Linked DNA regions of Caenorhabditis elegans. The protein of the gene in region 1 interacts with the protein of each later gene in a pairwise test. Each region holds a gene or a part of one and is shown on either strand. Other genes may lie near its edges.

Region 1 (4,221 bases):
GCAGTTTACCAGTTACGTTTGGCGGGGGTAAAACCATACGAAATAGACTGCCTGAAAAATATTTTTTTGCCTAGAACTATTATCAAGGAAATCTGACCATTCTTTCGATAATTTGCAGCGGCAAACTCTGTTCTTTGTTCAAAATTTTGTGTTACCTCGTCGATGTTAAAGGAGCTGAAAAAATTAGTTATTTTATTTTCTTAGTTTATCGTTTACCTACTACTTTCACGTGTAATAATTGTCGGTGAGTAAGCACATTGCCTTCTTGAACGATGAAAAAGTGCTAATCGATTCAATTTACCCATTTATTTCACCTGAAACCACAAACAATAATTTAAAAGAAAGAATGCGCTCAATCTGTTGAAAAATTAACGCTCGTCTGGACGAAGCAAATGCGCCCTGTCGCGAAACTAATTGGAGGGAAGATTAAAAAATATTTTTTTGTCAAACGAAACATTTCAGAAATTATTTTGCAATTCTATAATTGAAAATCAGATATCTTCGTGAAAAAACGTTATTTCCAGATGGTCTTCAAAAACATTGATTGACATTCGATAAAGTTTATTGATTGTTAGTGTGGGGAGAGGATACGAGCAATTTATATTTGGAGGGAATTGAAAATACATGCAATGATATCCGATATAATAAAATGCAGCAAAATAATTCAAGTTTAGTTTCAGAGCCTGCGAGAGATGGGGGGAGCGAGCGTGCTTTCTATATGACAGGAACATTGAGCTTATTATATTTACAAATTGCGCGCGTTATTATAGTTAGTATGGGACATAAAAACGTATGGCAATTTGACAAAATGTATAAATAGATGGGGAAGGAGGTGGTTATTCACCACAATTCAAGGTGCTTGGCAATGTCCATGGCAAGTTGATCAAGTCCAGGAATTGGAAGAGTTGTCTCGTTTCCAATCATCGGATTGTTGATAGACTTCAGAAGAATAGACTGAGCAGACTCCGAGTTGGCTTGGCAGGCAGCATCTGCAGCAGCAGAAGCAGCTGTGAGTGGAGACGAATCACTATCTTGAGACGGAGTTGATCCAGAGGAAGAATATCCCGAAACTCCTCCCGGTGTTGATTGTTTTCCAAGCATAGAGTATTGCATGTTCCCGGCTGCTCCAATAAGCATAGACTCAAACGGACTGATTGGACGAGTTGCCATATTCAGACTATCCAATGCGAAGAAAGTTGATGGATCCAACGGCCAGCTTGATGGTGGGCGATTCCCGGCTTCTGTAAAATTATTTTGAATTAATCATCAATATTCAATTTTCATACCCTCAGTCTCAAGTGGCTTCTTCGATGGCAACTCGTATCGTGGTCCACGAATGCTAACTGGGGTTGGACCCAATGGCATATTTGCTGCTGGCTCATCTGGTGTGCATGGCCTTGCAAACATATCAAATTGTTGAGGGCCGGCTGTAGAACGACCTCCATTCATGATATGATGCTCCATTTGATCGCGAAGGTCGGCCAAAGCATGACGTTGCGAAACCTGTTGAAGATTTGATTAAAGTGGAAAATTAAAAAGTTATCTTACCTCGAACAATTTATCGGCTCGAATGTATGCATTTGGTCCATTGTCCGGATGAATGAAAAGACAGCGTTTTCCATATGGGCACAACCCAGTAGTAGTGTACTTATCGCAGAGCTTCGTCCGGTACTTATTGTTTTGACGTGCCTCGATCCTGTAAAATATGTTGTGTAATCTTAATTCAATGTTCAAACCAACAGAGATGGACGAAGCTCCTCTTCGCCGTGAGCAAAACGACAGTTCTCCGCGAAAGCACATGTCTTCGACTCCAACCAAGCCTGACATATGACAGTCTTGTACGATTCCGGTTTTTGCATTCGGTGACGGCGTCTTGGATCAGCATGATATTGCAGTGGGAGAATAGCTTCCTGTGGAAGATTTTGAAGAGCTCTCATTTGCATCGAATGAATATGCTCGTTTCTGAGAAGATAAAATTTAAGAAACAGTCCATTTATCCTATAGAATTACTCAGCAATCTCCTTGAGAAGCTGCTCCTTGACAGCCATCAGGTTAGCGGTCTCGGAAAGCAAATCGTCGATATGAGAAATCGGTTTTTGCTGTTCTTCCGGAACAGTCTCCATCATATCGGGATGCGATGGTTCAACACTCGACTCTGTACGAGCCCTTAAAAAAGAAAATTAAAATTGAGAAACTATGATAAAAGTGGCTCACTCATTATTCTGGATAACATTTTCCTTGAGCATATCCATTATTTCGTTAGTAGTGCAGGGGAAATGGGTGGTTAGTGATTAGGCGTGGGGTGCTCGGTTAATTGATTCCCTGAAATTTAAAGAAATTTTAAAAATGGTAAGATTCCGCGAGCAATGAATAACAACCGTCTAAAGAATGAAAGAAATAAGTTTTTAACGAGAAAAAACGAATGCGCCAAAACGGTATAAAATTATTGTTTTAAGCGACGTAATTCAGAAATAAGCTCTTTTAAAATTCAAATAAACGGGCCAAAATCCTTCTGAATGAAATAAATGAATGAACAGAACCAAATGTTGTTGAACAAAAGAAAACTGAAGAAAACCATCTCTGTCCCAAAATTTCGAAACAAAAAGTCAATGTTTGGCGGCAATGCGCGCTAAATAAGATCAAATAATTATTTTTTAATACTTAAGTTTAGAATTAAGTCTGAAATTTATGGTTGAATCAAAGTCAAAAAACTTGCAAGAAAATGTTGCCAATTTTCACCAATGACTACGGTCACACTCGTTTGAGATGTGCACTCCCCGCTGCTGCGCCTTTAAAGGTTACTGTAACTAATAATTTTTTTTTAGCAAGCATGGAAATTGTGTAATTGTCTGAAAAAGTAACTCATAAACAGCGAATAACTAGATTTTCTCGACTAAAAAATTTTCAACAACACTGTCTGACCAAAATCTAGCTGTAAAAGAACATTACTTTGCAAATATACTTGCTGGAAGGTATTCGAATTTTTATTCAATATTTACATGTATATTTGATTTATTGTAAGTTCATTGTATTCCTATTAAAATCACTTGTGCATTCCATAATTTGACGCCTGGGAATAAACATTTTGGTCGAAAACTAGCGGTGTTCCATTGGACTCAACAACATCCATCAACTTTGACTTTTTTGCTTTTTCCAAGAAGAAACTGTTTGTTGTGTCGATGAACTTGCATGGACGCATTCCATTTCTAAAATATTATCATTTTTCCACAGTCCTTTGTCAAAAAATCACTCACTCAATAGCCATTTTAGCAGCTCCAATCTCCAACTTCTCTCCAAGATTTTTACCACGATGCCCCTAAAAACAGATTTGAAAATATTCAATTTGAAAATAGTAAAACTCACATCAAAGACATGCAAATGAGCAAGTGCTCCGTGAGTTTCTGAAGAAATGAATCCAACAAGTTCGTCGCCTTTACGAACGCAGAGCGATGGGAACCGTCGAAGTTTTTCTCTGAAAAAAATTCCTATTTTTCCATGTAACTGTTGTTTTACGATTTCTCGATTTTGTGAGAAAATGATATAAATCTAGTACTGTTGGTTTTTAATTTCCTGATCCAAAAACTCACTCTACTAATTTTGCATTTGGTGTGATAGATGATCCTACAATCTTCATAACATCATTTGTTGATTCAGGTATATCAATTGAGTATCCATCAGGTAATGTTGTATCACCATAATTTCTATATTTGAAAATTTGACTTTCATTCATTGCAAAAAAGTGTGTTGATTTGTTTTGCACCTCTGCATTAATATTGTTTTTCTTCATGTACTTTTCAATCTAAAATCAAACGTTTCTTATCTATTAACCTTTGTTCTGTTTTCATTGTGTATTACCGCTTTAGTGTAACATTTCTCGGCTACAGTTGATGGAGCATTGGAGCCAGCAAACAATCCATTTGTTTTACAGAATTCATCAAAAACCGCCAGAAAGTCTTCTTCTCGAAACTTTCCATCGTGTGTCAGAATTTGACGGTCTCTGAAAAGGTGCGAAGGTCAATTTCGAATTGAAAAAAAGAGATAGCAAAAGGTGGGAAAAGGTCTTTAGTGATACTGAAAAATGTTTTTGAAAATGAAGAAAAACTGGTTTAGGAATGGATTGTCATGGAAATGTTTGATCTTATCAAATATTACGGTCGAATCGGAAAAACATGAGTGAAGATACGGAAAAATGTAGTCAGCCATGGACATTTAAAACGGAAT
Region 2 (4,037 bases), on another chromosome or scaffold:
TCGAGGAGTTTTCAAAACCGTAAAGCGATGTTTTCAATGTTGGAAATAGTGGTTCTAACTACAAAATTTATTTCAGTGAAATGAAATTAAATAAATATTTGACTATTATTTATTGGCTTCTCTTCTCATCCGGATTCGACGATTTTGGAACCAAATCTTCACCTGTAATGTGCTACGTCTCGGAAAATTATTGAATGATAACAACTGATTTAAAAATTTTTTATTTTTTTCCTAGATTGATCTAATCACATCTTTACAACATACAATCGGATATGTTAGACTTAACGTAGAAGTTGCTGGAGCTCAGCCTGGTGGATAAATTTCGCAAACAATTTTAATAGAGAATAGATTTCTAAAAACAATAGAAACCTGATATTCATCTAGACTCAAAATCCTTGCCAATCTTTCCCTTTCATCACATCCAACATACTGACTTTGTGCAAAATACATTTCGAGTAAATATAGTTGTTCCACTGTAAATGTGGTTCTTCTACGTGGAATTCTGGAGGTTGAAGCTTCTGGTCTAACCATCATCAGTAAGAATGTAAAGACCATTTCGTGTTTCATATTTATGCCGTCAATTGTCAGTACAAGGGGCCGCCCGTTTTCGTTTCGTTTCGTTTAAATTATAGGGAATACATTATAAAATCACACCTTTTGTGTATATCTTCGTAGTTTTATTGGACATTTTAATAGGCCTTGTTTATAAAAGAAAATATAATAATGATGACATTATACAAAAAAGTATTCAAGGAATGTTTTATAGTTACAAAACCTATAGGTATACAGAATATGTCAAAATAGGGGAAAAAACTGAATGTATGCAGTCGACGAATAAGGTTGTCTTGACATTTTTTTGGTTAATAATGTTTTTCCTGCCAGTTTCGATATCTTTGAAATTTTGATCCAGATGACATCAATCCTAGCTATGGAATAATGGGGGAACTCTCTTTAAATTCACAACTTCATTCGAGCAAAATTTGTCTTTTGCACACGAAAAATTATTATTATTATTGCACAATCAAATATTTTTCCCCCGTGCAAGTGTGCAATGGGGCGACGGGTCGAGCCAGAAACCCGTGTTGTTGAAAATCAAACCAAGTGCAAAATATCCATTTTGCTTAATTTAAAACGATCTAGGATAACTCCACTAGCAACTAGAATATCTAATTGAAGGATTGAAATTTGGAAACTTACAATAAGGTATTCTATTTTATTACGTTTTCAATCTTGCTAGGAAAACTTGGAAAAAAAATCCATAAACGTTTCCCGGTTATTTCAGAAATCGATAGTCGACCTCCGTTGTTCCTTATCTAAATTTCATCAATTGTATCCTTTTTGATAAGACAATACTATCTTTTTATCACTACGTCTCCTTCACTCTAAATCCTAATGTAGTATCAATCAATTTGATGAAAAGACTACACTGGGGCCCACTTATTTTCTTTTTCAATCAAAATTCACACTTTATTTTATATATTTCTTGTAAATTGTATTTTTCTTCATTTTTAATTCTACTTTTTTTCAACAATTAACTCTCGAATTCTTCAATTTTTTACAGAATGAAAGGAGTTGTAGAAGGACAATGTGGACAGCAGAATGCTCTTGTCGGGTTAGCTAACACATTTGGAACATCCAATCAAAGAGTCGCTCCGAGTAATGGTAAGCTGGAAATATTCAAGTAAAAATTAACAAAAAAAAAAGTTTTTAGCTGCAGCTTCTCTTCTCCCATCTTCTTCTATGGGAGAACAAATGGCTAATGAATTTTTAAGACAACAAGCGAGAACAATGGCTCCAACAAGTTTCAGCATGAAGTCGATGCAGAATAATTTACCACAGGCATCAGCATCCTCAAGTTTGGCAGCAAATTGGACAAAGGAGTTTCAACCGCGACAGGTATTTCTAATGCATTCATATATTGGTATTTTCAATTGATTGCTTCAGAACCAGTTAGCGAGTCAATGGAGTCAACAATACACATCTAGTGCTCCAAGCATGGAATCTGCATGGCGTCAAGTTCAAGCTCCATCAATGACATCCACGTCATCACATCAACCAATAACAGATGCTGGTATGTGGTCATCTGAATATCTGGATACTGTGGATACTTCTTTAACCAAATCTTCTGGGACTCAAAACTGGGCTGATGATTTTATGGAGCAACAAGATAATTATGGAATGGAAAACACTTGGAAAGATGCACAGGCTTTTGAACAGAGATGGGAGGAAATTAAGAGAGATATGGAAAAGGACGAATCTCTTCAAAGTCCTGAAAACTATGTTTATCAGGTAAGATTTTTGTCTTCTTTAACACATTTTTATAACCCTCCTATTCAGGAAGCAAACCCTTTCACAACCATGTCAGATCCACTGATGGAAGGAGACAATCTAATGAGAAATGGAGATATTGGAAATGCCATGCTTGCCTATGAAGCAGCAGTTCAAAAAGATCCTCAGGATGCACGTGCCTGGTGTAAATTAGGATTGGCTCATGCTGAAAATGAAAAAGATCAGTTAGCAATGCAAGCGTTCCAAAAATGTTTGCAGATTGACGCTGGAAACAAGGAGGTAAAATTTGAGAAAAATATTTGATTATTTGATGCCATAAAATAGATAGGTCGCGATAAAATTCATATCTGTCTCTTAAAACTTTTTAAGAACAGAAATTAAGAAAAAAAAAAAAAAACTTCCAATAAAATCAAAATTATTTCAGGCACTTCTTGGTTTGTCTGTCAGTCAAGCGAACGAAGGAATGGAAAATGAAGCTTTACATCAATTGGATAAATGGATGTCTTCTTACTTGGTATTTCTTATTTTTATTTCAAGAATAATCCCACACGAATAAATATTTTAAGGGTTCAAACTCGACTCAAGTGACAACCACACCTCCACTCTACTCTTCATTTCTGGACAGTGACACTTTTAATCGAGTTGAGGCTAGATTCTTGGATGCTGCTCGGCAACAAGGAGCAACTCCAGATCCAGATCTTCAAAATGCTCTCGGAGTTTTATACAACTTGAATCGCAATTTTGCAAGAGCTGTCGACTCTCTCAAGTTGGCGATCTCCAAAAATCCAACTGATGCTCGTCTCTGGAATCGTCTTGGTGCTACGTTAGCCAATGGTGACCACACAGCTGAAGCCATTTCAGCATATCGAGAAGCTTTGAAATTGTATCCAACATATGTCAGAGCAAGATACAATTTGGGAATATCTTGTATGCAATTATCATCTTATGATGAAGCTTTGAAACATTTTTTATCTGCATTAGAATTGCAAAAAGGAGGAAATGATGCATCTGGTATTTGGACAACTATGAGGTTAGTTTATAGCTTTATATGTTAAAATCACCTTCACAAATTTCAGATCAGCAGCAATCCGAACATCGAATGTCCCTGACAATTTACTGAGAGCAGTGGAAAGACGAGATTTGGCAGCTGTAAAAGCCTCTCTAGTCTAGAATAATTACAATTTAAATACTAAAATAAATAATTATTTTTCCTCGAATTTTTTTACTTGGTTTTCAAACTTTCATTTTGAAAATCTCAATTTCAAGCCGATCACGAGTTTGGAAGGGTCATAAAATGTTATTACAGCGGTAAGAAAGCAGGAAGTAAACCGACCTAGCACAAAAAGTGTTCAGCTCATTTTGTTTTGTTTGTAGAACTCACATTGTTAGAGCTCAATGAAATGATTGAATAATGCCTAAATTAAAATAACATTCTTCAAGACTTCTAGACACTAAGTAATCAAATCCTATCATTTCTCTTACGGTGAATTTCTACAAAATGCTCAGAAATTCCACATGAGTCACCGTTCCATGAGTAAAACCTCGGAACATATGACTGATTCTATTTATTATCATCTTTCCGCCACCCTCTTCCAAACGTCTCACTCTTTTCTATTTGCCGGTCATCGAACACATTCTTCCTTTTCTCTTTCTGTCTTTGAAGCACATGACATGGCCATTTATCATGAAAAGGTACAGCTGGTTGAAGAAGAAGAAGATCCGAGAGAAACAGCTCCAATTGAGAGGAG

Evidence for each region. The genes of interacting proteins can lie anywhere in the genome.
Region 2: the proteins of oma-2 (region 1) and prx-5 interact in a two-hybrid assay, tested with the Caenorhabditis elegans proteins (one large-scale study listed by BioGRID).

Annotation. Positions count from the first base shown.
Region 1 is NC_003283.11:8,027,540-8,031,760, reverse strand, and holds oma-2 (CCCH-type zinc finger protein oma-2), read right to left. Parts: upstream 2,323-4,221; 5' UTR 2,253-2,322; coding exon 2,215-2,252; intron 2,167-2,214; coding exon 2,011-2,166; intron 1,963-2,010; coding exon 1,741-1,962; intron 1,697-1,740; coding exon 1,549-1,696; intron 1,504-1,548; coding exon 1,287-1,503; intron 1,242-1,286; coding exon 841-1,241; 3' UTR 547-840; downstream 1-546. Other genes in the region: vars-1 (valine--tRNA ligase), read right to left, coding at 1-51, 98-174, 217-305; F43H9.4 (Glycine N-acyltransferase-like protein), read right to left, coding at 3,044-3,206, 3,255-3,316, 3,364-3,472, 3,588-3,799, 3,856-3,997. UniProt on the Caenorhabditis elegans protein: Zinc-finger RNA-binding protein that binds to 5'-UA[AU]-3' motifs in the 3'-UTR of maternal mRNAs to suppress translation in oocytes and embryos.
Region 2 is NC_003280.10:8,703,263-8,707,299, forward strand, and holds prx-5 (TPR_REGION domain-containing protein), read left to right. Parts: upstream 1-1,561; 5' UTR 1,562-1,562; coding exon 1,563-1,662; intron 1,663-1,711; coding exon 1,712-1,896; intron 1,897-1,944; coding exon 1,945-2,289; intron 2,290-2,337; coding exon 2,338-2,568; intron 2,569-2,713; coding exon 2,714-2,803; intron 2,804-2,855; coding exon 2,856-3,319; intron 3,320-3,365; coding exon 3,366-3,459; 3' UTR 3,460-3,498; downstream 3,499-4,037. Other genes in the region: Homeobox protein ceh-7, read right to left, coding at 106-162, 370-567.